Linked DNA regions of Rhinolophus ferrumequinum. The protein of the gene in region 1 interacts with the protein of each later gene in a pairwise test. Links are inferred from orthologs where the notes say so. Each region holds a gene or a part of one and is shown on either strand. Other genes may lie near its edges.

Region 1 (6,952 bases):
CTCCTATAGTCCCCCAACCCGAGAATCTCAGCGCATTCGGTCACAGGCATGGGATCACCCCAGACCGTGAAAAACGGGGTTCAGCCTTTCGTGCCAAAATGGGCTGCCCTCTGCATAGTCAAGGTAAGAAAACCTGCATGGAGGCTCAGAGGGTGTTCCTACGATTCTTTTTGAGCTTTACTAACATTACCCTGGCTTCCCTCCCTTTCCCCTTCCTCTCTGTACCTGCCTGTCCTCAGGATGCCTGGCTGGCTCCATGTGCCACTCATTTTTATTTCACTCCCAAGCCACCTCCTGTATAATGTTTCACTCTCAACTTCTCTTCAGTGTCCCTCCTGCCTTGGTCCTCACTTGAGAGTAGGCATCAAGTCTGAGCTGGAAGTTCAGCTGCCCATCTTGTGACCCTCTCAATTCCTTGGAATCTCAAAAAGGGTTCTTCTTTAGCGGCAACAACGCCAGCTTGTGTGAGGCTCTAACGCTGCCACTGTCCTGGGATCCAATCAAGTGCCTCTTCTCTGAGTCTCCCCCAGTCTCTCCTTTGGTACCTTGAGAGATTAGAACCTACCCCCTTAGCATGTATCCCAGGGCCCAGCCAAAGACATAATGAACTCTGAGAAGGGCAAAGTGTTAAAAGAAGTAGCATACACTCCAAAGAAATGAACAAATTTTCATATCCTGCATCTTGATTATAGTATAATCAAATCTTGTCAAAATCCATAGAATGACCTTCAGCCCTGCCCCTACCCCAGTAGCCTTTGATCCCTGTTGCTCTCCTAACTCCAGCCTTTCCTCTCCTCCCAACCTCTTCCCTCCCCAGCTCCACTCCAACCTCCCCGCCCCTCCTCCAGACTCCAGTGACTGCTGCACTTTCTGAGGCTGCCTACTGGACACCAACTCACACGAGCAGTAAGATCAAGGCTCCCCAGTCCCAGCCACATCTACCCCTCCCAAATGCCAGTCTCTGGGGGGACCCACACTGTCACCATGCGCTGTTTCATAGCCTTTTCCCTACTGCCTTATTGAAATCGGGGATCCACCCCTCATAATCAGAAGCAGAGTTCCCAGCCTTTGCCAAAGGCAAGATGAGCACAGAAAGGATGGAGGGCCTTAAGAGCTGAGGGTACTGGCTGCTTTGAGCAGGCATTGGGCATTGAGCCCTGGGCACTGGCTCCTCAGACAAACACCTCCCCCCCCCCCCCGTCCCCCCCCCCCCCCCCCCCGGTTTTCATCATGGAAAATCTAGTGGGGAGGGGAAGGGAGGGAGAAAGTTTCAGGAAGTGCTCACTGATAAAGAACACTGGGGAAGCTGGGATTGGGAAAAGATTCAGAACTTCTAGAAAGACATCCATTCCCTCTACCTTCCCCTCCAGGGTGGCACAAACTCAAACCAGACCCATGGCCCATTAGCTGAATTCCAGGAAGTTTCTATTCCCGTGCTAAGTCCAGACACTGCAAAAGATGGGAATAAGTTTAGACCACAGAATGAACTTCCACGTTCGTTGGAAAGCCTGGGACTAGAGTTGTGAGGAAGACTTTTTAACGGAAATCTCCTAGGGAGTGGGAGTGACTGTCCAGCTCCAAAGCAGGGCGATGGATGGGCTGACGACCCGCTTGGTGGTGGTGATGAGTGGGGGGGTCCTCAAGTATGAGTCCTTTGGGGAGAATAGGTGACACCTGAGAAGCCTCCCATGAGGCAGAGGACCAGGGAAAGTGTCCAGAGACTTGGAACCCACAAGTGACACCAAGTATCTTCATCTGAAGCTAGTGCCCCCATGGGTAGGTGGCACTAGCCCCACAGGGCCCAATCTCAAATACACTCCTGTGGAGGGGCCCGGCTGAGAGAAGCCAAGGCAGTTCTCTGTACTCTGTTTCCAGTGCCTTCTGGACCTATGTCCACCTTTTCTTCTGAGTCTGTCTGGCTCGTGTGGCTCTTTTGGCCTGTATCCCGCTGGGTCACTCCCCATCTCTGAGATTTTCCTGTCCCTGTGTCCTTGGTGTCCACCTTGCTCAAAATCTCTCCCCATCTGTCTCTTTCCGTCTCCGAGTCTCGGCGTCTCAGCGCTCCTTCTTCCTCTCAGCTCTTTATGAGCGGGGTTCGCAGAAGAAGGTGGGGAGAGAAAAGAGAGAGGAGGAGGGCGGGGGGCGGGAGCGGGCGGAAGGTGGGGATTGGAGCGGGGCAGGAGGGAGGGGAACAGCGCCGGAGGGAGGAGAGTGCGGCGCGGGAGCGGCGGGGCGGGAGGGAGCCCAGGAGCGCGGCGCCCGCTCCCGCCTCCAGCGCCTCCCGCGCGGCCGCTCGGCGCGGGCCCGGCTAGGATGGGCTGGCTCGGGGGCTCCCCCTGCTGCTGCCCCGCCCCGCCGCGCCCCCGCCCCGCCGGGCGCCCCCCGCAGGTGAGTGGCCGCGCCGCGCGGAGCGGGAGGGCGGCGGCTCGTGCGTCACGGCCGGGGAGCAGTGCCGGGGGCGGTCGCCAGGGGGCGCGGGGCCGCCGGGGCTCCAGGGGAAGCGGGCGGGCGCCGGGCTGGGGTCGGTGATCGGAGATCTGGCGGGCCGCGGCGAACTGAGACGGCTGGCTGCCGGGAAGGTGCCCAGGGGGCGGGGCGCAGGCCGCGGTCACACTCTAGTTGGGGCCGTCACGCCTTCGCCCGCCCTGGTGCGCACACGCCGCCTAGGCACGGTGCTGCTCCTTCCCGCCACGCACCCGCGCGCGCCCCGCACCGGACGCCGCTCTTCGAGTACAGTGGGGCACGTTCTTCCACATGCGGGCCCTGTAGCCAGGCGGGAACTGGCGGCCGCGCGCGGGCACTGGCCTGGGAGTGCGTCTGCGTATTTTCCTTTTCTACTTCACATCTGGGGAAACTGAGGCAGAAAGCGGGAACAGATGAGGCTGATTTGACTTTCCAGCCCACTCGTCAGCCCCCTTATGCTGCTACTCTCAATTCTCCAGCTCCCTCTGGGCACACCCATGTACCCCGCCTTCCTCCCTCTCTCCTTCGCTGGGCCTCACCCCTCCTCCGTGGCGGCCGGGCTCCCAGCCTCTCATCCAACCACAGCTATTTCCAGGAAGGGGGAGTGTGGGTGGAGGGGTTTCTCCAAACAAACCTAAGGCTTCGGAGTGTGAGGGGGCCAGCCTGGGGGAGAGGCTGACAGGCTCTGGAATGTTCCAGGCAGGAGAAGGGCGAGGGTCCTTGGGGGTCTGGCCATGCCTTCCCAGCCCTGCCGCAGTGAGCTCGTTTTCCTCCCAGCACCGCTGAGGGATCAGCACTCTTGTCTCCATCTTCCCTCAGAGGTGTACCAAGGGTGGGGAGGGTCTCAAAGCCATGCTTCCCTGGCCTCCCAACACCCGGGTTAGTGAGCCTCCCAGAAGAGTGAGGGTCAGAGGATGAGGGTGACTGCTAGGTGAGGGGACTTTCAGCCCCTCTGGAGGCAGCAGGAGTAGAAAGAAGCATCTGGAGGGGTCCAGGTCAGGGTATGTGCAATAGGAACAGAGAAAGGCCACCCAACCTACCACAGTGCCCCTCCTCCCCCAGCAGGGCTGGGGACTGGACACCAGGCCCAGTTGCCCACACTGGCCAGGGGCCTGGAATGTCCTGGGACCCAGCCAGAGCTGGTGGGTTGGGAGTGGGTTGCAGAGCCAGTGCCCCTCTCCAGTTACAGGCCAGGGGCCCAAGCTTTTTCACACAGATGCCTCCCTCTGGCCAAGGTACCCTGGGGACAGACTTCCTGACCTGCTAGGAGAATTAGACCATCAAGGGAGAAGCCCAGGCAGATCCAGGGAAGTGTCCTCAGTGAGCTCCCATAAGATGGCTCATCCCAGAGAAGGCAGGGCACGAGGGAGGGAGAGGGAAGTCTAAGGACCTGGTGGGAGATGCCAGAGCTGGGGGAGTTGCCTGAGCTCTGGGACATTCAGTAAATACCATGCAAATGAAAGAGGAATATTTGCACATTGTTTCAAGTGACAGCTCTTGCTGGTCCAAGGGGCTGCTGTCCAAGGCTTGGGGCTGAGGACCCCCAGGCCATTAACCCCTTAAATTTTCGGAAGATTCCTACCCCCCTTTCCAAGGCCCCAATCCACCTCCTCCTTCCCTTGACTCCCGGACAGGAAGTTGGCCATGTTCCCAGGAGGGAGGCAGGAGGCCCATAGAGGGGGGTGGAGTATGTGTTGGGAGGGGGGCCTCCTGTCCAGTCCTCAGGTCCTGGGACAGCTGCTGAGGAAGGAGAGCAGAGACAGGAGAGCCATGAAGGTAGTACTCAGGCTTTGGGGGAGGAGGGCGGCCCTAGGGCCTGAGGTGGAGGGCCTAAGTGGCCGGCTCCAAAGAGGGGCTAGGGGTCTAAGAGGTCAAGCAGAAACAAGCCCAGGGAATGAGTGAGGAGGGGAATGTGTCAGGAGCAGAGCAGCTGCAGGCTCTCAGGAGAAGGGCCTCAAATGCCTTGGGCTGTGGCAGGAGAATGGATCACTCCTGTGGGCAAAGCAGTTTTCTGGCTGCAATTTGCCTTCCAGTGTGAATGGGGAGAGGGGGGAGAGGTGCATGTTTTCCTTTCCTTACTTTCACAACCAGTGAAACTGAGGCAGGACACTGGCCCTCCGTCCCATTCTCCCTGACCCTCAGGATGCACTCCCAGTCCTGGGCTGGCTGGCGTAGTGAGTCCCAGCTCCCCTCCCTCCCCACTAGAAGTCCCCAGAGAGCCTACGGGTTCAGACTGGGAGGCTGTCCTGGCCAGGACACGGTGTTCCCCACTGGTCCCTGAGCCCTGCCCTGAGACCTCAGTTCCCACCCTGCCCCCACGCTGTCCCGCCCCACCGGGGGCTGGATCTCAGGATCCCAGCAGATCCTGGATGGGGTGGCTCCTGGGGCCTGGGGCAGCCCCAGAGCGGGGCTGCGGGGTCAGAGGATCCTGGGCTGACACTCCCAGCAGGGTAGATCCTGGGAATCTGATCTCCTGGCCTCCGCCACATCCTCCCCCCACTTCCTGGAGCAGCGACCTGCCCCCTTCCCGCCTGTACTCCCCTCCGCTTCCAGGGCTGGGCTTCTCCTCACACCAGCCAGACAGCCTACCCTCCACCCAGGGGAAGCGGCTGCCTCCGCCAGGCCGCTTCCAGGAAGCCCCGGGCCAGGCCCCAGCATTGTTCGGGCCCCGCGGCCGGCACCCCAGCCAGCCGGACACCATGAAGTCCAGCGGCCCCGTGGAGAGGCTGCTCAGAGCCCTGGGGAGGAGGGACAGCAGCCGGGCCACCAGCAGGGTAGGAGTGCCCACCAGCTGGGCAGAGGCGGGGCAGGGGTGGAGGTGGGGAAGGGGGCCAGGACACAGGCCAGACCCTCCACCTCAGCCTTCTCCCTTTGCTCATTACTCTGCCTCTTTGGGGTGGCCAGGGCTGTGGTATGCACCATAGAAGTTTGGGTTTGAGCAGAACCTGGGGTCTGTTTTGGCTCTTCTATCACCTCCCTGCCCTAGCCCATACCAACTCTGGGGGTCCTGATCCCCTACACCTATGTCCAGGTACATTTCATTGTAGGACCTTTCTGGGTACCATCCTGGGAACCCCAGAGCAGGGCTAAGAGATCAGGCATCTTCCCTGAGCCAAGATGTTTGGGGAAAATGGGGGGCTGGGGGTGGTGAAGGAAGGGAGGGACGTGGCCAGGTCTCAGGAGTGCCTTAGACACTGGAGGGTTGCTTTCACTGACATCATCTGTATATGCCATTTATGCTAGATGTACCCAAGTTTCCTAGTGGGTCCAGCACAGTTGGTCCAGCACAAGAGAGTTCAGTTGCTGGCTTAATCTAGCTGCGTCAGGGACACTGCCAAGAGACAAGAGGTGGGGCCTGGGTCCCCAGGCCTGGGGGGGGGGGGGGGGCCTGGAGACCCCATCACTCCCTTTCTTTACTTGCTCAGGCTTACCCCAAAAGCAGCAGCTCAGGGCAACATGAGACACTACTATAAAAGGGGGATGGGGCAGGAACTTGAACTTCAGAGGTGGAGAAAAATGGGTAGAAGAGAGGAGGCAAGGAAGCAAAAATGGTCCCCAGACAGGATGGAAGGAGTGAATCACAGTGGGAGGCGTGGGACTGCGTGTGAGGTAGGCCTGGGCCTTCAGGGGGCATCCCAGCCTCCTGCCTCACTGCACCTCTGGGTGGGGAGGGGCCCAGCCCAGCATCTGGTCCACCCCGCTACTCCATTCAATGCTGGAATCCTCACTTGAATGTCCTCAAATGACAGGGTGCTCACTACATCCAGAAGTAGCAAGACAGCTAAATATTTTCTCCAATGTCATGCCTCTGTCTGCCTCTCCCTCCAGCATTACCACCCACCTCCTTACACAACTGCTGCCTGCCGCCTCAGTGCACAATGAGTAAACATGTTGTTCTTGGGGGTGGGGGTGGGGGTGAGGAAGGCATGTCAGCTGCCTAGAGCAGGACAGCAGGAGCCAGGGGATCAGGACTGACGGAGGCCACTCCCATCAGTCAGTCTGGGTGCTGTGACTGACAGCCTACATTCTTGTCTGGACCCCCTGCTGTTCACTCTGCACAAGGGCCTCCATCGGGGAGGGCAAAATTGAAGGAGAAACGGGGGCCCTCATAGAGGAGAATCAGAGAGTGCCCCCCCACCAAGAGGAAAGTTCTTGTGTTTGGGGTGGCAGTGACCACAAGGGTATCACACACCAGAGCCACGTGAGGGGCCTAACTGATCCCTTGGGGAGGAGCTGACCCAGTGAGGGTGACGCAAGAGGCCAGATTCCATGCACTGTTGAGGACAGCCCCCACAACTGGCCGGAAACAGCAGTGGCCAAGTGTCCCACGGGTTTGGGGACATTAATCATTTGGGGACTTTAATCAGGATGGAGGAAGAAAGGAACCAGTGCGGTGCTAAGGCACTGGCCCAGTCTCCAGATGGGTCTGCTGGGAACAGATACCCCTGTCTGAGTCTCTGCCCCTCCACCCCTACCTAGCCTAGGAAAG
Region 2 (7,734 bases), on another chromosome or scaffold:
AATTTTTTTCTTGTTATTTAAGTACTTACATAATATTCTTGATTTTCTTCTTGGCCTGCAAAGCCTAAAGTATTTTACTATCTGACCCTTTACAAAAAATATATATATATATATGTGGTGACTCCTGATTTCTAAAGGGATGCATAGAACTGACTTCTTTGAGATAAGTGTAAGAGGGAATCAGTGTTCTCTAGCAGAAGGATCATTCTGCTCAGAATTTTACTAATGATACTCCAGAGTACTCTGAAATCCAGGAGAAACAAGAAAATTTGCCTTTCAGCCCACAAGTAGCTAAGTGACAAGAAAGTGGACATTACATAAAAGGTAACACAGCAATTAGAAACTACATTAGAAAATGGGAAGAAGAATATGACTACACTTTAAAACACTGGAATAAAGGTCAGTGCTTTCGATAGTGGTTAACAGACCTTCTGGATATGGCAGCTAGGCCTACTTCAGAGATATTACCCTATGAACAAAATGATTATTTTAAATTGTTTGGTATGGAAAATTATAATGGGTATATGAACATTATTTTATTAGTATTGTAGTAATAAAGTAATAGCAGGAAAAAAAGAAATCATCAATAAGCTCCTTTTCTGTTTTAGGAGATAAACTTAGAAATACATGTAAAACATGGGGGAATAGGGACTGAAAAGAACTGATGAATGAGAGAAAAAATTTATTACTTAAGAGGGGAAAAGTTCAAAGAATCAGGTTAATAAATGCAGTAGAAATTGAACAGGTCAGTGAATTCTTATGGAGAGAGCATCTGAGAATGTCTGGCCTTATCAAGTCAGTGAAATAAATACTTCACATACTTCCCCATCGACACGGTCATGCCCCTTTTACCCTCAGCATCATTGCTAGAAAAGAATCTAGGGCAGGAGGAAGGGACAGACACTTGTTCCTCTCGTGTCCTCAGTAAGGCAGCAATGTAGGAAGACTGCCTGGCTTACCCATCAGCCAAAAGGTTGGACCTGACCAGAGAGGGGAGAACAAAAAGTCGGTAGTGGGTCTCAAGGTCGTGTCCTCTGTACAGAGGCAGCCGCAGGGCTAGGAAATAAGGAATCCAGACAAGTTGCTCTAAAATCCTTGTCAGTCCTTTGAATCTAGATTGTAAACTTCTCAGAAGATGAGTGTTAAGTGTAATACCACGTGGAAACCCTGGGAATGAGCAAGCTAAGGCAGAATCACAAATCTTTATATTACAGCCCTTTTTTAAAATGCTTCTTTGTTGCTTATCCATTAATTTCCATTTTATCTCTTAGCATCTAGGAACACTTTTTGGAACTATTTTTAAGCTTCTCTCAGCTGTGCTGAGGAAACATAAAGGAAAGTACTAAAAAAAATTTCTATTGTAAAAATTTCCAAACATATACAAAAGTAGAACAATATAATCCCCCCTACACACACATCATGTCACTCAGTTTCAACAATTATCAACACAAGGCCATTTTTGTTTCACTTTTATCCAGTCCACACCCTATTTCCCACTGGACTATTTTGAAGCTAAAGGAGAGGTATTTTGATCAATTTTTAAGAGGAATTTTTAAAGAGGGGAGCGTGGCATTTTGGCAGCAGAATGGTGGTGCTATCTAAAATCCAAGCTGGGGGACAAATCCAACCCCTATTTCAAGACTGATATTCCTTTCTGGTGCTAGAATCTATTTCGGAGGGCCTCAGTTTCGCTATCAGCAAAACACAGAATATGGACTAAATTATAGGCAGTTGGGTAACAGTGAAATGAGACCTTGACTTCAAGTCAAAAGATCTGGCTTAAGAGTCCATTCAGCTCTGCCTTTTGCAAATTATATAACTTATAAATTATGTAAGTAACACTTAACCTCTCTGAATTTCTATCTACAAAAGGGTACTTCATGGGACTTTGGTTGAATTAAGTAAAACAATGTATTATTTGAAGTTTTGTGAATTAAAATGCGCTATATAAATTCGGTTTTATTGAGTTCTTCAGTTAAGTAAAAGATGACTCAGATTTGAATCTACAAATTAGGAAAACAGTGATGCTATTGACAGAAAAGGAGAAGCTGAAAGGCAAAGTTTAATCCAAATGGAAGACTAAACAGAGAGGGAGACATGGGGCTAAACCTTTGATCCAAATATCTATTTAAAATACATTCATTATGTTAATAATAGGAAATAATTGCACAGTCTCCTTACCCTCAGCAAAATAAATGTTCAGTTTTCTCTAGCTTCTCCCTGTCTTTATCCACCTACATAAAAAAACCATTTATTAAGTATGTATTATGTGCTGGGCATTGTGCTAGGCAGTGGGAATACAAAAAAATAACACCACTGTCTGCCTCCAAGATGCTCAGATTAGGAGACACACTTATTATATAAACAATTATAGTAGAATCGGATAAGAATTAATTTGGGCGGTGACTACTGTTTGCACAGTAATCATAGGGTGTGGTCAGTTTTTGTTCTATTTTTAGAATATACCTGTTTCAGAGTCACCGACAGAGAGGTGACTCCTAAAGCCTTCATCATGGTCTACGAAAAGAGAAGCTGTAGAAAGGTTAAGGACTGAGCTTCTCCACAGAGGCTGGAGACAAAAGTGCCACAGGAAGAGGCTGAGAAAGTATATTTGGAGAGGTGGAAGAAATTGTTAGTGTACTAGGAGCTGGGGGCAGGGAGAAAAGTCTTTTCAAAAAGAGATTTTTAGGGCTGGCCCGGTGGCTCAGATGGGCCTAACTCCATCTCCTAACTCCAAAGGCTGCCGGTTCTTCGATTCCCACATGGGCCAGTGGGCTCTCAACCACAAGGTTGCCAGTTCAATGGTGGGCTCCGCCCCCTGCAACTAGCAACGGCAACTGGACCTGGAGCTGAGCTGCGCCCTTCACAACTAAGACTGAAAGGACAACTTGACTTGGAAAAAAAGTCCTGGAAGTACACACTGTTCCCCAATAAAGTCCTGTTCCCTTTCCCCAAAAAAATCTTTTAAAAAAGAAAAAAGAGATTTTTAGTATAAACACTTAAAGCTAGGTAGATCAATGGATTCAATGGAGATCACTAATGATCTCCAAAGACCAGTTTCAGGCAAAGTAAGGGTAGAAGCCAAACGAAGAAGGCTGAGCAAGGAGTGCTCAGTGAAGTGGGAAAATCTGGCAGTGAAAATCAGCTAGAAAATCAAATGGAGATTTTTCTCTCCACCCTCACACACCCATTTTAAGATCTGCACTTTTTTTAAGGCTATGGGTAGAAGGCCAGGGAGAGACTGAATAAAAATAATGAAAGATTCTTATATGATACTTAATATGTGCCATGCACTATTCTTAGTACTTTACATGTATTAGCCTGTTTAATAATACATGAGGCAAGGATGGAATGATTAAGTAACTGGCCAGAGGTCACTCAGCTAGTCAATTGACTGAGTCAAGATTTGAACCTCAACAGTTAGCTTCAAATTCTGTGCTATTCAAGTTGTACCTGAGGTTGCCTTTTACTTAACAGAAGAACTCAATAATACCTAATTTAGATAGTGCATATCAATTCATGAAACTTCAAATAATACATGAAAGTGTGTGGGCAATTGATGAAAACGTGCTTCTGCTGAGTCACAAAAGGCACCAGCCCATGACCCTTGAGTTTACCCTAGGATGGGCATCACCTATCACCCTATACATTCTAGGACATGTTCAACCTGAAGGAAGGGGATGTGCAAACAGCCAAAATGAAATTGCATTGAAAGAGGGATCTAAGCATGGGTTTGTACTGCGTGCATCTCCCTTTCTGGACATGCTTTCTTTTCTGTTCAATTCAGGGAGTGGTGCTACCAATAATCGGGCACCAGGAACTTCGAGGTTTTTTAATATTCACTCAACAAATATTTGAAAGCATCAACTTAGGGCCCGACATTGTGCTAGGCCCAGAGGTGAACAATTCAGACAAGATCCTCTCTCAATATTTACAATCTAGTTGGAGGGTGGGGAGAACAAAGACTAGGAGGCCAAGGCAGGAGAGGGGTGAACAAGGGGGAAGATTAACTCGGAGAAGCCAGTAGAATCCCTGGCAGGCGAGGCCTTGAGGCCACGCCCAAGAGGCTTTTGTATTTAACTTGCATCAATTCAGCGCCAGTGACCGCCAGATTACCCTAAACACTTTCTAGACCATTTAATCCTGTCAATCCAACCTTTACACCTCCCACTTGTGCCTGTCGGGTCACCGGGTCACTCTGGGTCCCTAGGCCTACAAGGCCTCCTCGGGCCAGGGTCACCTACTCCCCCTATCTAGTGTCGCCTCAGCCCCCACGATCATCTTCTTGAGCCACCTCGGCCAATCCGGGTTTATACTCCCGTCGGTCTCTCTTAGCGCGGGTCTCCTCCGCCGGCCAGGTCACCTCAGTGACACGCTACCAGGGCCGGAGGTTCGGCCAGCGCGTTACGCTTTGTTCCCAGAACAGGTTTTCGAAATGCCTCTCCCTCTCGGCTCCAGCTGTTTTCCTGCCAGTGCGGGGAGACCCGGCAGAGGCAGCGCCCCCGGCGGCGCACAGTGGCCCAGGAAGGGAGTGCCCGCCGCCGCCAACTTCCCCACCTCCTCAGCCTCCTCCCGGAACGCGGGATAGCGCGCGAGCGGCGCACGCCCCGGCCGTCTCGGCCGAGTTCCTGATTGGCTATGCCGCGCGACGTCACGGGGAGGGTCCCGGCGGCAGCTGGTAGGCGAGCCCGCGCGTGCGCAGACTGAGCGCGGTGAGCGGAGGGGGAGGTGGCCGGCGGCTTATCTCGCGTCCGCCATTTTGTTGCTGTAGCTCTTGGGAACCGGCTGGGCAAAACCGCCCTAGAGGCGCGACGCTCTTTGGACTCCGGTGTTTGGTGTGTCAGCGGGGGTTGGCGCAGATCCGTGGGAGCGCAGAGCCGACGCGTTTCAGGTCAGGAGTGACTGGAGGCACCCACGGACGCCGAGCATCCCGAGAACCCCGGGGCGGCCTCTGCTGCGGCTCGGCTTCACCCGCCCCGACCTCAGGCTCTGCCCGGCATTCCCCGAGCCGGCTCCCTCCGTGAGGCGGCCCCGGAGCAGGCGGGCGGAGGCGGAGGATGCTGCGGGCCCAGAGCCAAGAGGAAGGTGCTGGCTCGGCCCTCTAAGCGCGCCTTGAGGTGTGCCGAGAGGCCCTTCTTCGGTCCCAAAGCCGTCTGGCGGGCAAAGGCGTCCAGAGCGGGCAAGAGCAGCCGCCGCCCCAGAGCGCCTGCCCGACACCATGTCCTCCGCCAGGTTCGACTCATCAGACCGTTCCGCCTGGTACATGGGGCCGGTGTCTCGCCAGGAGGCGCAGACCCGGCTCCAGGGCCAGCGCCATGGCATGTTCCTAGTCCGCGACTCCTCCACCTGCCCGGGGGACTATGTGCTGTCGGTGTCCGAGAACTCGCGGGTCTCCCACTACATCATCAACTCGTTGCCCAACCGCCGTTTTAAGATCGGGGACCAGGAGTTTGATCACTTGCCGGCCCTACTGGAGTTCTACAAGATCCATTACCTGGACACCACCACGCTTATCGAGCCCGCGCCCAGGTACGCGAGCGCCCGCAGCCGGGCGCGCTACGCACCCCGACCCCCGAGGAAGGTCGACAGTGGCTGGGTTGGTTCGCTTGGGGTCCATCCAAGAGTGTGTGTGGGGGGGGGGCGGGGAGAGGGGTCATTGAACTCATTTCCCCCTATTCTGAACCAAATTACTTTCCAGAAGCCTTTCGGAAGGGAAGGCTAGTGCCAGGATCTGGGTCACTGTGGATGAAGGGGATGTGTCTTAAACAGATTTAACGGCGGTTGCATAGATAAAATGTACGCGTTTTGCTTTTCATCACATTCTTTATTTGGTTATCATGCTAAAGGAGGGTTTTTGTTGTTTTGGGATTTTTTTATTTAAACCTTTTTTGGATCACAGACTTCTTTGAGAATATTAATATCGCCGTGGCATTCTCCCTCCCCCCAAAAATGCACGTACACACAAGTTTGCACGCCATTCAAGGGTCTTGGACTCCCTGCAGATCTCTGAACTCCAGGTTAAGAACTCTTGGACTGCAGCCTTTGGAACGATCGACAAATGACAATGCTTTAGCGTTTAGGAACAAAAACCTTTAAATGTGAAGTAGTATCAGAACTGTATGTCGATACCTTGGTGCCAGGTTTGAAATAAGCCAGACACATTCTATTTTATCATACATCAGTTACAAAAAAATCTTAAAAGAAGGTGCATTGGCTTCAGTGAGGGCATTTTATTTATTTATTTTATTTTACAGTTTTCCCCCAAGCTGGACCGTTAATAGGCTAAAAATCCACTTGGTTTAATTTCAAGGAGGAATAAGGCTAGAATATTTGCTTACTAAGGGAAATTTTTAAAAGACACTTTAATTCTATCGTAGTTCAGTTTTAGATTTTTTTTGTATTAAGTCTAATGATTTAATACCTTTTAAAGTTAACAACCCTAAGTGACACTGAGCATCAAGCATCCCCTTTTGTAAATAAAATGCATTCTTTTATTTGATTATTTGCTTTAATTTGTCTTAGTCAGTATTTTATCAGATGTTTCTTTCATGCCAGATTTGAGCTGAAATTATGCCAAATTTGAGCTGAAGAAATTGCCTAGAATTTTAAAAATAAAAGGTATTTCACTGTCCAATTTGTTTCTTAAACATCTATTTTAAAAATACAGGAGATTTTGGGGGATGAGATGTTTCTGATTTTATGAATTTGCTGACGAGATTACTCCGAGCTTGAATCATTATAAGGTATTATAATTCATTAAGGAGCACCCTAAGTGTTGGCTTCTGTGGAGTAGAGATAGAGAAAAAAACAAAGCCATGACAGTATAATGACTATGAGATTAACTGCTGAAGTAAATGGACTTTAAAAACTGGGACAAAGTGATTATAAATCAAATACTGTGTAACAAAGACCTAGACACCAAGAATCTGGTGAAACTCCAGGTCCCCGAAGATGCTGGTAATTGGACTCACTTTGAGCACGATATAATTACAATGTAAGGGATAGAATCTTAGAATCCATGGTAGTGAGATTTTGTAATGTGTTTACGTAAATGATTTTCCTAACTTGGGAAGGTGAATCATATCATGAATTTCAGGCATTTATTAAGCCGTGCTATGGGCAAGGCATTGTGCTTTCTTGAGGTGACAGGTACTATATACTATAGCTGTTTCAAAAAGTGTAAGTAAATGGCTTGATAGGCCTCAGTCGCTTCCCACTACCCCCAACAACGACTCCAAATCTTCCATACACTGTGCCTTCGGAGATGTGATCGATGCCTGTCCTCTCCTCCCACCTTGACCGCCGCCCCGCTAGGCCGCTCGCTCATTCCCGGAACCTTTGCGCAGGCTGTTGGCTCTTCAGTGACTGCCTACCCACCCACTCCTCACTTACTGTATTGAAATCCTACCTGTTGTTCCAGGCACCTCTCAAATAATAGGACCTTTCCCTGACCCTCCCCCTCACATTCAGCTTTGATTAGTTCTCCTTCTCTGTGCCCTCCGCCCCAGGCGTGTTGCTGTAATTTAGTTTTTCATTTTCCCTGGTATCTCGGAGGGCCTTCACAATGCTGGCTGAATTAGATCCTGACTGGAATGACTTTGTTATACTGAATCTTTGCCTCTCCCCAGCCTGAAATTCACGGATTTGGTTTGATGTGTTATTAGCCTTTGTAGAAATCTAGAGGCTGGTAAAACCTTGGCCAGATGCAAAAGTCAGTGTAATGATTTTTCACAC
Region 3 (7,700 bases), on another chromosome or scaffold:
TTTCTGCTGCCAGGAGCAGAGACAGGGCCACCAAGTCCAGGGCTGGAGCAGAGGACTGGTTCTCACAGGCCACGCCTTTGGAAAAGCAACAGAAACCAAGGTGGTGTGGTAATAAAAATAGCTACGTGTTTTTTGGACTATTTCCTTGGTATCCTCTAAGTCAGCAAAATCCCATAAAAATATAATGCAAGCCACATATGTAATTTTAAATCTTAAAAAGGTAAAAACAAAACAAAAGCGGTGAGATTAATTATAATAATTTTATTTAGCCCAATATATCCAAACTATTATCACTTCAACATGTAATGAATATAAAAAGTCATTGATGTGTTGTTTTACATAAGTCTTCCAAATCCAGTGTGCATCTGACACTGGCAGCACATCTGGATTAGGACCTGCGATGTTTCAAGGGCTCAAATGCCATATGTGGCCAGTGACTACCCTGTCAGACAGTGCAGGTCTAAATGGTTTATCTATATTAACTCATGGAACTCCCACAACAATTCTATTCCCATTTCAGAGATGGTGAAACTGAGGCCCAGAAAGGTCAAGAAATTGCTCAAAGAGCTAGCAACTGACTCAAACCCAGACTGTCTGGCTCCAAAATGCATCCCTTGACCTCTGTACTTCTTGTCCTCAGTTCTGGCTTGAAGGAGCATTGTGGACAGCTGGCCTAGGTTCAAGCTCAGGCTATGCTATGCCACTTATTAGCTGGGTGTCCTGCATGATCTGCTTAATCTCTCTGAAACTCAGATTCTTCATCTGAGAACGGGACAGTGTTATCTAAGCCAAAAGGCTGAGGGATGACTTGTAGCCTCAAGCCCAGAGGACATACCACAGAAAGCCTGGCACCCAGCGAGCCTTGGACACACTCAGAGTATTTCAGCCACTGAGATTTCTCCACTCACCGAATTCATTTGAGCAGGACCCCAACTTTTGCACGTAATGCATTACTGGAAATGTGTTTGAAACTGATTTCGCAAAACTCTAACAACAGATTTCTGTGTTGTAAAGGACATTCTATTCACTGAAGACTATACAAATTATGAAATCCCAAATTATGTCTCTCCAGTTAGGTGTCATTGTCAAAGATATATTTCCAGAGTTTCATACATATTATTTTGTAAAGTAATTGAATTTGTTTTACTGTGTATATTTTGGTTCTGATTACAAAAGCAATGCCAAAAAAATGCAATTGTTAGAGAAATAAGCAATGTGGGAAGTAAAGGTGGTGTGGAAATGCACATGCAGAAATGCCCACAAATGGTTTGTGTGTGCCCAGGGAGGAGTAGTGCCCCCAGGGTCACGAGGCCCCAGATGTCAAAGCGTCAGAATACACAAAATGAAAGAAATGGTTAATTCAGCATTGTTAATGCTTTAGAAGGTTTTGCCAAATTGCCCTCTCCAAAGATTCTACCAAGGGACACCCTCTCCAACAGTTTGGAGAGTTCCCATTTCCCCACACCTCCAATTCTGGGCATTGCCAACGTTCTTCATTTGGTTAAACTGAGGGAAAAATTTACTCGATTGCACAAAGCACACACATGCTCCAATTGTGTCCACTTCCTCCACAATTAAACATATGGTCACCAGCTTAAGCTTCAAAGGGTCCAGCTGAAAGCCAAGATTTGCTGCTTTTTTTTTCTGGGTGGTGAACACACAATGTGATATATAGATGATGTATTACAGAATTGTACACCTGAAACCTATGTGACTTTACTAACCATTGTCACCCCAATAAAGTTTAATTAAAAATATATATATTTGCTGCTTTTGGCACAAGCTTCACCCCCTTCCACTTTCCCTGCTTCTCACTAAGCCCAGCCACACTGACCTTTAGCTTTCTCAATGGACCAAGCGCCTTCCTATCTCAGGGCCTTTGCACATGCTGCTCCCTCTGCTCTGCATCTCTTCACCTAAGTAACTCCTAAGTAACTCACCCCTTGAGGAGATTCTTGCAGTCAGGAAAAAAAACTGTTTTCCCATTTATAATACTACTACCTGCTTCATAGGTTGCTATGAGGATCAAATGAGATACGTAGTTTAAAATTCCCATTAAAACCATTACTCTGGAAGGGCAGAAATGGTCCCCAGCACTATGCTTGCTGCCAAAAAGGCACCTGATGCATGTTTGTCAAATTAATGAATGGATGGATCAAATGGGCTCCATCTTTGACTCAATTATACTAAAGTGTCAGAGGCTACATTTCTTATCACTGTTATCAGTACATCCATTGTCTCCCTTTCCACACCTTTTTATAAAGACAAAGGATAAAATGCAGGAATGCTCACACCACTGCACAAACAAGTTACATCTGGCCAGGCTAAGATGGCTGCAAATCTCAAACAGAACTGCTGGTGGATAGGGAGCAGCCCCATGTGATCGCTGGGAATGTTTATTTTTCTGTTCATGTACAATGCCAACATTCAATACTCCGGTTTGATCTTCTGTTTGTCCTCCCCTATTAATTCTCACCCTTCTCTCCCCAGCTCTATTCCCTGAGAGGCTGATAACAAGACCTGCTCCCTTGCCCTCCTTGCCTTCTGTTGCAGCCAATGAGAGACTCCAGCGGGAGATGGGAGAGTGGGAGGAGAGAGAGGGTGGAGTCTTCATTCCCCGTCCCTGACCTGGGCTGGATCTAGTGACATGCAGGAGGTAGCAGCAGAAGTGATGCAATGTGACTTCCAAAGCTGGGTCACAAAATGATACAACTTCCACCCGGCTTTCCTTCTCTTGGATCACTTGCTCTGGGGAGGCCAGCTGCCAAGCTGGGAGTACATCTCCACTAAGGAGGAGCTGAGGCATTTCACAAATAGCCAACACCCACCTGCCAGCCATGTAAGTGAGCCACCTCAGAAACAGATAGACCCTGAGCCAGAAAACCCCAGCGAAGCCACTCCTGGATTCCTGACCCACAAAAACTATATGAAATAATAAGTTTGGGGCTAATTTGTTACACAGCAATAGAGAAATACTACAACTACTAACAGTCCTCCCATGCTCCCACCTCAGGACCTTTGCACTTGCTGTTCATTCTGCCTGGAACTCTTCTCCCACCTCCTTCAGGTTTCCCCTCAGATGTCACTTCCCACTGCTTTCCCTGATCCCCCTTTCTCTATCCCCCTATCTCAGTTCATATTTCACCCTAGCACTTATTATTTCCTGTCCTATTATATATTTGTTTCTTGTCTGTCTCCCCCACTATAATGGCAGCTCTACATTCTGGGGATCTTTGTTTTGTTCAATGCCTGGCACAGTGTAAGCATTCAATATGGTGGCCATTATTATAAGAATCTAGCAGTCTTGATTCTTGTCATAGCTGGATCAGTCTCCCACCTGTTTCCTGCCCACTCGGTGTCCACCCTGGCCAGGGGATGGGACATAGCTGTGACCTTCCCCTCCACTGGGTAAGTAGTAATTGGCAGCTGTAAAGGGAAAGCCCCCCAGGCCTTCCCACTTCCCTCAGGACAAAATCCCAGGTCGTCTGTGCAGACTTCGGGCCCCCATCCCTGTCTGAAATTCCACCATTCAGCCACAAAGAACCATGAACTGTTTACATTCGCTAAGAGAGCAGTCTCTAGACCTACAAAGCTTTGGGGTTCAAGTAGAAAACATCAGCGCACCTATTTTTTATCTCCATTTTTTGTTTGCTAAAGAATATGTAATAATATATTATTATAAAATAATCTACAGAATCCATTGGTATAACTGTATTTCTACATAATTTATAAGTAAATATCCATCTGGGGGTAGAGCTTCAACATTCTGACTGATGGAGGTGCATAATTGGGAAAACAATTTAGAGTCATTATCCTAATGCAATTTTGCCCCCCAGAGGACATCTGGCAATGTCTGGAGACATTTTCAGTTGTCACAACTGGTGTGTGTGGGGTGCCACCGGCATCCAGTGGGCGGAGGACAGGGAGGGAAGCTGCTCAACATCCTACAATGCACAGCACGGAGCCCACCACAAAGAACTCCCCAGCCCGAAATGGCAGCCGTGAGGAGGCTGAGAAACGTCAGACTCTCTTGCTTCTGGGGTCTTTTCACCAGCTGCTTCCTTCTCCCCACTCTGTGCTTCATCTAGCTAAGACCTCAAACTCCAAGGACTATACGAGCCGTTCCTTTCTCCAAGAAACCATCCCTGAAATCTCCGGGCTGGGCCAGAGCCCCTCCAGCCCCCTGTGCTGGGTGGGTTAGAATCGTCGTGGACGTCGGGGTTCTCAACCTTTGGATTTACAATACAGATTCCCTGGAACCGCTGACGGCCGGACCAGGAACCTGTATTTTTAACAAGCACCCCCATCCCCCCACTGCCTGTCCCTTTGGACGGGCACCGAGTAGCTGGCCCGACTAGTTTGCATGCCAAGAGCTACTAAGCGTTCTATCCGGGGTCTGGAATCCTGGCGCGCACGCGTACACACACCCCCAGAATGTAGTCACTTATCACCCCCATTTTATAGAGGAGTAAACTGAGGTTCAGAGAGGGGATGTGGCCGGGTAAGAGGCTCAGAGTCAGGAAGGTGCCCAGGTCTTAATTAGCGCCTGATTTCTGGGTGAGGAGAGAAGGCGATGAACTAGGGGAGCGCGAGCTGCGGCGGGGGTAGCAGATTCGAAGGGGGAGCCCGAGATTCGCAGCGGCCTTCCGATGCGGCCCCGCCCCCACGAGGGACGTGAAGACGCGGACCCCGCGCAGCGTGGGGACATGTGACCGACTGCAGAGGCCGCGCCGCCTCTCCTGGCGGAGGTCTGCGCGCTCAGCCGCAGAGTGCGGACCCCGGGAGCCCTCCTCGGTTTGGGGCACAAGAGCAGAGGCGGAGCCAGGGTGGAGCTAGCGCTTCCCTGCAATCGAAAGCGAAAGAGGGGGCCGGGAAGGAAGGGAGGAGCCGGCCCGGAGCCCCGCCCCCTGCCCTGCGCGCGGCTGGACCGCGGGGCGCGCCCAGGTAGGGGGACTCCGAGCGCGCAGTGCGGACCCTCGCGGGGACCTGCGTGACTGCCACCATGTCTCAAGAAGGTGTGGAGGTAGGAGATGGCTACGGCTGGGCCAGGGCCCTCAAGAGACGCCGGGAAGGGCCGGGGCCGCAGAGGGGGCTTCGCAGTTCCTTGGGACTCCATCCGTAGCCCAGACCTTCCTCCTTGTCTGCCCCCCCCCAGAAAGGAGAGTGACCGCCACCTCCTCTTGAGCGAAATGCGGCCCCCTGGGCGAAAAGCAGGGGCTGCAGGGTCAAGGGTCAGAGGCCAGGGGTTACCTGGCCGGCCTCCTCCCGAGCCTAGGACGCTCGCCCCAGTCCGCACCCTCCCCCAATGCCCGGTGGGGACTTTGGCTTTTCCAGGAAATACCATGGAGGGATGGGGGTGGGGGATGCGGAGGCCAAAACCAAGGGTCAAGTTCAGGCCCAGAGAAGGATGCCTAGAAATAGGGAGGGGCAATCTCTCTTCTTCCCCTTTCCGAGCCTCGCTGTCCCCATCCCAGCTGGAGAAGAGCGTCCGGCGCCTCCGGGAGAAGTTTTATGGGAAGGTCTCCAACAGGAAGGCGGGGACTCTGATGAGGAAATTTGACAGCGACCACACCGGAGTGGGCCGCTCCATCGTGTACGGTGAGCGGGCAGGGTTCCCGGGACTGGTGGGTGTTCCGCGCGGGGGAGCTCGGTCTGTTCGGAGGGTAGGAAGAGGAGTTGAGATCATCTCTTGGGGATGGTCTGTATTGGGGCTCCGGAGACCCTGAAACTCCCACAAGATCCTTCAAGGGCCCTTCACTTACACTTAACTCTCCCCACCAGGGGTAAAGCAGAAAGATGGACAGGAACTGAGTAATGACCTGGATGCCCAGGTAAACTGCCCCCCTACGCTCAAAGGACAGGGTAACTGGGGAGGGAGAACACAGGGAACCCTGCCCATCCTTGGTGAGCCCCACTCAGTGCACTGCCAGTCTACAACTCATGGTCCAACCACATCTACTTATTCACAGAAGGGCTGTGTGTCCTGCCAGGGAGCCTGCAAACAGTAGGTGTTCATTCCATGCTAATGGTATTAAATGGGGGAGAGAGACATGAAACTAGTTAGTGACGCTAGCCAGGATTTAAGTCATCACATAGGAGCCCTAGAGGTCAGGGAAGGCTTTCTGGAGGATGTGGTGTCAACTGATCAAGGCTGAAAAAGAGTGATCCCTGGGAATGGAGGGGTCGGAAATAGTCTTCTTGGAAGAGGGAATAGTGTGAGCAAAGGAACATACAGACAGGCTGGGATGAACAGGAGATGGGGAACCGGAGAGAGGGGGTAGGGGGCTCCTGTTGAATGAATGAATGAATGAATGAATGAATGAATGAATGAATGCTTTAAAGCACAGATACATCATGGCCACTTTGCCCTTTAGATGGCTTTGGTGGCGGATGCACTGTGGATTTTGCCTGCCTGAAAGACCAGTATAGAGTTGTTAAAGAGTATAATAAAGTATGTATCATACTCTTTATATTTATACATTGACATTTATACCTATAAAGAGTATGATAAAAAATAAAGAGTAGCATTTAGCATTGATTGAGCACTTTCCTTGCTGCAGGATTCCAGGAATTTTACCTGTTGATTCATTTCATCACCAAAGCGACCCCATGAGACAGGTCCTATTATTTATTACCAGGTTTTATGGATGAGGAAACAGACAGTGATGAAGTCACTGGCCAGGATTATGCAGCATGCAGGTGGCAGCTGGGATTTGAACCCGAGCCACTCAGAGTCAGAGACTGGGCTCTGAGATGCCCTTCATTAAGGACCCAGGGGGAGTAGCTTGGCCACACTGCCACAGCTAGAAGTAATGGAGAGTTGGGGATCGAACCTGCATCTATCTGAACTCAGAGACTGAACACTTAGCCTAAAGCAGCATGGCCTCAAAGAGGCAACTAACTCATCCCAATGCCAACAAATGTGTGGTATTTAACCAGCAGTAAGGGAGCATGGGGTCCAGGCCTGCTCTGATCTCAGGCAAGCCCTCTCCTGGCTCTGGGCCTCAGTTTCCCCATCTGAGTAATGGGGATAACAGGTGTGCCCACCTCTCAGGACTGTTATAAGGGTAACAGAGGTCATGTACCTGGTCTCAGTAAGAGCGCTGCCAATCAGCTCCTTGTGAGTTAGGAACACCCTACTCTTATATGGGGCTGGGAGGGTCCCATCCAGGAGCCCGGCCGCCAACAAACAAGGTGAAAAGAGGCCTGAGCTGAATCCCCAGCCTCTGCCCCTGGTGTCTCCACCCAGGATCCACCAGAGGACATGAAGCAGGACCAGGATATCCAGGTGAGTCCAGGTGGGAATGGGGGAGGTGGAACAGGGAGGACATCCATGGGAGAGAGTGAGGTCATTGTGGAGGAGGGGGTGCATCTGCTAGGAGAGGAGGGCTGAGACTTGTTTGTGTTGGTGGAGGAAGGCCGACCACCCTCTAGTGCTCACCCCGCCTCATTTCACAGGCAGTAGCAACCTCCCTCCTGCCTCTGACAGAAGCCAACCTACGCATGTTCCAACGTGCCCAGGAAGACCTCATCCCTGCTGTGGACCGGCAGTTTGCCTGCTCCTCCTGTGACCATGTCTGGTGGCGCCGTGTACCCCAGCGGAAGGAGGTGATAACCCAGTCCAACCTTGACTCTGTCCTGAACTCCACTCCCAACCCCCATCTTCAATGTCTGACCTTCTGACCTAAGAACATCAGCCT
Region 4 (5,019 bases), on another chromosome or scaffold:
CATAACTTGAAGAGACCAGCAAGTCCAGATCTAGGCTCATTTCTTTTGACTTCAGTTCTGGCCCCTATAGGGCCAGACTCCCTATAGGGCATAGACTCTCTATGACTCTAGAATGCTTGCGTATTTCTTTGAAGTTTTCAAAGAGAGATTCTTATTTTTTTAATTTTCTCTAGCTTTTCTAGTCTCCTTGAGAGGACTGGTGTAACATTTTAAGCAATGTTAACTTGCTAAATTTCTGTAACTTTGAGAGATTTATTTATTTTTATAATACATAGGAGTGATTCAAATAAGTGAGTGGCTGCAGCGAAGATGATCATTTGACCGTTTACAAGTCTGCTCCTGTTGTTTCAATGGTGGTAGATGACACCACAATTCAGAAAACTCCAAAGCTGCCATCGTGGGTGTCCAGGTTTTCTAATTCTGTCTCCCATTTCCATACCACATGTACTGGTGTTATACTGTGTTTCAGTATGGCCTGAAATCACCAGGAGCTTTCGTACCTTTCTGCTTTTCTCAGTTTATTTTATCTTTCTAGATCTCATGGTATTCCTTTCCATATTTATGGTATCTTTGCTTTTCTAAGTGACACCCATCCCCAGTAGAAGCTGTCAACACCCTGCCTATGTCCCTTGGGTATTCGTCTGTACACTTCTGGGACATCTGTAAAACTCTGCCAAAGGACCTTTCACTTCACAAGAGCTCCTGTGCAGGGAATTCTCTGTGAGAACTGAGCTCCAGTTTCTACATGGTACCTAGCTTAGTGATGTACCCTGTGTTGCCAACCTTTCATTCCGTCACATTGTCCCACTTCCCAACAGAGATTTATTAGGCTCACCGGTCAAGTAAACAACTTGCATTTGAATTCGTGTTCTCAGCCATTGTTTCTGGACATTTTATAGAAAAATACATATCAGGTGCCTCATTAATATGTTCATTGAGAAATCTTCAGTGTTTCTCCACCTTATACAATTTTAATTAAAAGATCCCTAGGGAAAAATACCAAGACCATATTACAGAGAGAAATGTGCCTTAGGATTGCGTGCAGCACATTTAGGAAAAGCAGCCATGATAACTTTGTCCAGCAAATGTATTTTTAAGAATACAGAATTCAAAGCCTTCTAATCTATATCGTATAGTAATAAAAAATGTGTTTTGGCTAATAATACTATATAGTGATTGAAAAAAATTTTATATAAGAAATACTGGCTTTTGTTTATTAAGCTGCACCCTAGATGACTAGTAAAAGCAAGATGCCCAACATGTGAGTGACAAATTGATTGGTAATTGGTAATTAGTAGGTAGGTGCCAAAAGTTGTAACTTGCAACTATAGATGAGTTTCTGTTGGAAACACACCTCAAATATCAAAACTATTTTGTTTATAGTCTGGTGATGGCACTCTGCACTCTAAAAATCAGAAGCCACTGGATGTACAAACCAGAGTGATAAGTTTTAAGTCAAATATCTCAATTTTTAATTGTTGGTAAGTAACTCAGTCAAAAAAGAAGAAGAAGAAGAAGAAGAAGAAGGAGGAGGAGGAGGAAGAGGAGGAGGAGGAGGAGGAGGAGGAGGAGGAGGAGAAGAGGAAGAGGAAGAGGAAGAGGAAGAAGAAGAAGGAGAAGACCCAATGGTGGAGGTCTATGTTATATACAACAAAAAAAATATAATCTTTGAGTTTAATTCAGTCCCAGGTTGGGGAGTACAAATTCTTCTTAAATTCATACTAACTTAGTGTAGACAAAGTTTTTAGATTTAGAGGCAAAGGGAAGAGAAGATTGGATCTTACAGAAAAGGATCCTTAAACAAGGAGACAAGTAATTGAAGACAAATTCACTACATTCCCCAGTTTTGTCTAATAAATCTGTGTCCCCTGTTTAAGTCTTAAGGTTTATCATCAATATTATTTCATTTTTTTCCAGTGTTATTGAAGGATAAATGACAAATAAAAGTTGTAGATATTTAAGCTATACAATGTTATGTTTTGATATAGGTATACATTGTGAAAAGATTACCAAAATGAGACTAAACAGCATATCAATCATTTCCCATGATTACATTTGTGTGTGTGTGTGTGTGTGTGTGTGTGTGTGTGTGTGTGGTAAAAACATTTAAGATAGTCTCTTTTAGCAAATTTCAAGGATACAAAATAGTATTAATAGTATTTTTGACTGTAGTTACCATCCTGTACATTAGATCTCTAGAATTTATTTATTCTGAAATCTTGTACCCTTTGACCAATATCAAGATAATCTTAAAGAGTTGTGTTTTAAAACAGAAAAAAACAATGGGGAAGGAATAGCATCTACAGTGTTATATTAATAGGACAGTTTATCTACTTGCTGAGGCACAAAGCAAGGAGAAATGAATTCTGGTCTTGAAGAATAGAAAATAAAGGACTCATCACTACCTATTTGAATTGGGTGCATTTACTTCTTTCCTCTGTTCCTTCTAGAAGGTCTACATTAAGTGACTTTTAAAATTGCTATAGATTTTATTGAGAAAATTTTATACATTTAACATCATTTTTGTAAGTTTGTTACAGCTTTGTAAGAAACTCTTTCCATCAGCCATGAGAGTACGTTTCATTCAGTCCAGAATATAATTTAACTGGTTGCATAAACATTGAATATTTTGTGAATGAACTTAGAAAGCATTTGGTTGTGCTCTAAGAATATGGTAAATCTAACAAACGTTTTTAAAACTGAAACTATAGTTAAGCAGAAGCAAAAAATAAATAGCAATGCAAACAAGAAAAACAAAACAAAATAAACTTAAACCCAGAAAAAACAGAAAAGAAAATTGGTGGGTAAGGAGAGAGAGAGGTGGAGAGGAGAGAGGGAGAGAGGGAAAGAGGGAGAGAAAGATATGTCTGTATACAGCAGAAGAAAAGAGAACTAGAAAAGGAACTTCAGATTTAGGCAAGAAAATGCAGAGCGGTACCTGGCTCTCTGCAGGAGCCAGAAAGTCACTCAAAGCCTGTGCAGTGGAAAGCTAGATACATTATAAGGTGATAGAAGCCTTGGATAGTTATATATGTAGATGATGAAAAGGAAAACATATCAAAATGCATAAAATATACTAATTTTGTAAAGTTTTAGTTATAAAAGTATTGGGATAAAATGGACCACAATTTAGGAGTGCAGTAAAAAAATCTGCAATTGCTGAGCCTTCTCGGTGTTCCCCTTTCAGTTGTTTCCTCCCCTCATCAAGCTAGTGTGTCCCTCTTGGCTGTCTGGGAAGAGGCCCAGACTGATCTTCCCTGGGGCTGTTGCAGTGGAGCTCTTTTTTGTCACCTCATCTTTAAATACATGACAAAGTGTCTTTCAGTTTCTCGCCATCTGTCTGTTTTATCTAGTTTTGGTCTCTTTTCATTGGGTGAGGGGCACACTGTGTAGCTGCAGTACTTGGTGTATTAGTTTTCTATTGCTGCCATGACAAATTACACCAAGTCATTTAGGAGAATGGGAATCAATGGTGACAAGATGGATCATTTTCAGGAAGACTCCCATTCTGATGGAAATGGATTCATTGCACCAGAACATAATTGATGTTACCTCATTCCCCACTCTTAGGAGGAAAGCATCCTCCAGCAAAACTAGATGTGGCTACATAGGAAGCACATGGAGGTAGCATAAGCCAGAGGAAAAGCTTTCTTGGCCCTGATGCTTTCCTGGTCGTGATGGGATATGCATTAGTATAAAACAGTCATAGCATTTTTGACAGAGGAGCAGTTCATTGGCTTTGGCTGTAAAAACAAAATTATAGCACCCATAAATACAATATGTGGAAAACTATTCAAATGTAACCGCAATTACAGAGACAATTACTGAGTTAGTCTTATGCAAAAGAGCAAATCCAATATAGAAACCGTGATCTCATAGTGGACCACACCCATTGTTGAGGGTATATAAATGCCATAGCCCAGAAGTGACATTCAAACTCAGAATCGTCTCCTGTAACTCAGCTGAATTCACATCTCCATCAACATGTCCTACAACTGCTGCTCTGGGAACTTCTCCTCCCGCTCCCTTGGAGGCTACCTGCGTTACCCAGGCTCCTCCTGTGGCTCTTCCTACCCCAGCAACCTAGTCTACAGCACTGACCGCTGCTCCCCCAGCACATGCCAGCTGGGCTCTTCTCTCTACAGTGGCTGTCAGGAGACATACTGTGGGCCCAGCAGCTGCCAGACGTCCTGTGCGGTGTCCAGACCCTGCCAGACGTCCTGCTACCGCCCAAGGACCTCCACGCTCTGCATTCCCTGCCCACCAACTTACACAGGGTCTCTGGGCTGTGGGTCCAGCAGCAGCTGCTCCCTGGGCTATGGATCCAGGAGCCGCTACTCCCTGAGCTGTGGTTCCAGTGGCTTCAGACCCCTGGGTTATGGAGTCTGTGGCTTCCCTTCCCCGAGCTATGGGTCTGGATTCTACCGCCCAACCTACTTTGCCTCCAGGAGCTGCCAGTCATCGTGTTATAGACCAACCTGTGGATCCAGTTTCTACTGATCAAGTTGTAAAGGGCCCAGATTCTATTGGTTTTGAGGTCAAAGTCTCTACTCAGTACAGCGATCATTTTCATTGTCACCAGTTACCACTATTCTTTTATTCTTAAATCATCAGTATCTTGCATCACCAACTTTTGACAGACTCTGAAATTGATTGGTAACTCAAAGTTAAGCCCTACTACCTGTACTATTGATAAAATATATGTTATTGGATTTCCACTGAAGAGCAATTGAAAATGAAAATTGTCATCAAATAAATTTATGTAATCTGGCACCCAAAATATTGTTCATTCTTCTTATTATTACCGTTTTCTCTCTTTTTTGCCTGTAACTTTTGTATTCAAGGATTTGGAAGATTTAAGTAAAGATTGATATGACTTCGAAACTGGATTTGGGCACAATGCAATTTGATAGATTTGAGCAAATTTCTGTCAACATTGTATATGTTCCCCATTAGAAGTAGTCATTTCTAGGAGGTCCATATTTCACACCTCTCACTGTCAGTGACATTTGCCTGAAA

Evidence for each region.
Region 2: the proteins of TNS2 (region 1) and CRKL interact in a two-hybrid assay, tested with the Homo sapiens proteins (2 studies listed by BioGRID and IntAct). The link is inferred for Rhinolophus ferrumequinum from reciprocal best matches to the Homo sapiens genes TNS2 and CRKL.
Region 3: the proteins of TNS2 (region 1) and SHFL interact in binary tests that used the Homo sapiens proteins (3 or more experiments, as listed by UniProt). The link is inferred for Rhinolophus ferrumequinum from reciprocal best matches to the Homo sapiens genes TNS2 and SHFL.
Region 4: the proteins of TNS2 (region 1) and keratin-associated protein 13-1-like interact in a two-hybrid assay, tested with the Homo sapiens proteins (2 studies listed by BioGRID). The two-hybrid records come from large-scale screens. The link is inferred for Rhinolophus ferrumequinum from reciprocal best matches to the Homo sapiens genes TNS2 and KRTAP13-1.

What each region holds. Positions count from the first base shown.
Region 1 is NC_046293.1:53,008,428-53,015,379, forward strand, and holds the start of TNS2 (tensin-2), read left to right. Parts: upstream 1-3,941; 5' UTR 3,942-4,107; coding exon 4,108-4,239; intron 4,240-4,852; exon of another isoform or gene 4,853-5,162; coding exon of another isoform or gene 5,163-5,237; intron 5,238-6,942; coding exon 6,943-6,952. UniProt on the Homo sapiens protein: Tyrosine-protein phosphatase which regulates cell motility, proliferation and muscle-response to insulin. Phosphatase activity is mediated by binding to phosphatidylinositol-3,4,5-triphosphate (PtdIns(3,4,5)P3) via the SH2 domain.
Region 2 is NC_046308.1:23,324,879-23,332,612, forward strand, and holds the start of CRKL (crk-like protein), read left to right. Parts: upstream 1-4,718; 5' UTR 4,719-5,218; coding exon 5,219-5,529; intron 5,530-7,734. UniProt on the Homo sapiens protein: May mediate the transduction of intracellular signals.
Region 3 is NC_046301.1:40,069,061-40,076,760, reverse strand, and holds the start of SHFL (shiftless antiviral inhibitor of ribosomal frameshifting protein), read left to right. Parts: upstream 1-4,697; 5' UTR 4,698-5,002; coding exon 5,003-5,023; intron 5,024-5,474; coding exon 5,475-5,598; intron 5,599-5,781; coding exon 5,782-5,831; intron 5,832-7,249; coding exon 7,250-7,288; intron 7,289-7,458; coding exon 7,459-7,608; intron 7,609-7,700.
Region 4 is NC_046285.1:96,957,961-96,962,979, forward strand, and holds keratin-associated protein 13-1-like, read left to right. Parts: upstream 1-3,889; 5' UTR 3,890-3,984; coding exon 3,985-4,500; downstream 4,501-5,019. UniProt on the Homo sapiens protein: In the hair cortex, hair keratin intermediate filaments are embedded in an interfilamentous matrix, consisting of hair keratin-associated proteins (KRTAP), which are essential for the formation of a rigid and resistant hair shaft through their extensive disulfide bond cross-linking with abundant cysteine residues of hair keratins.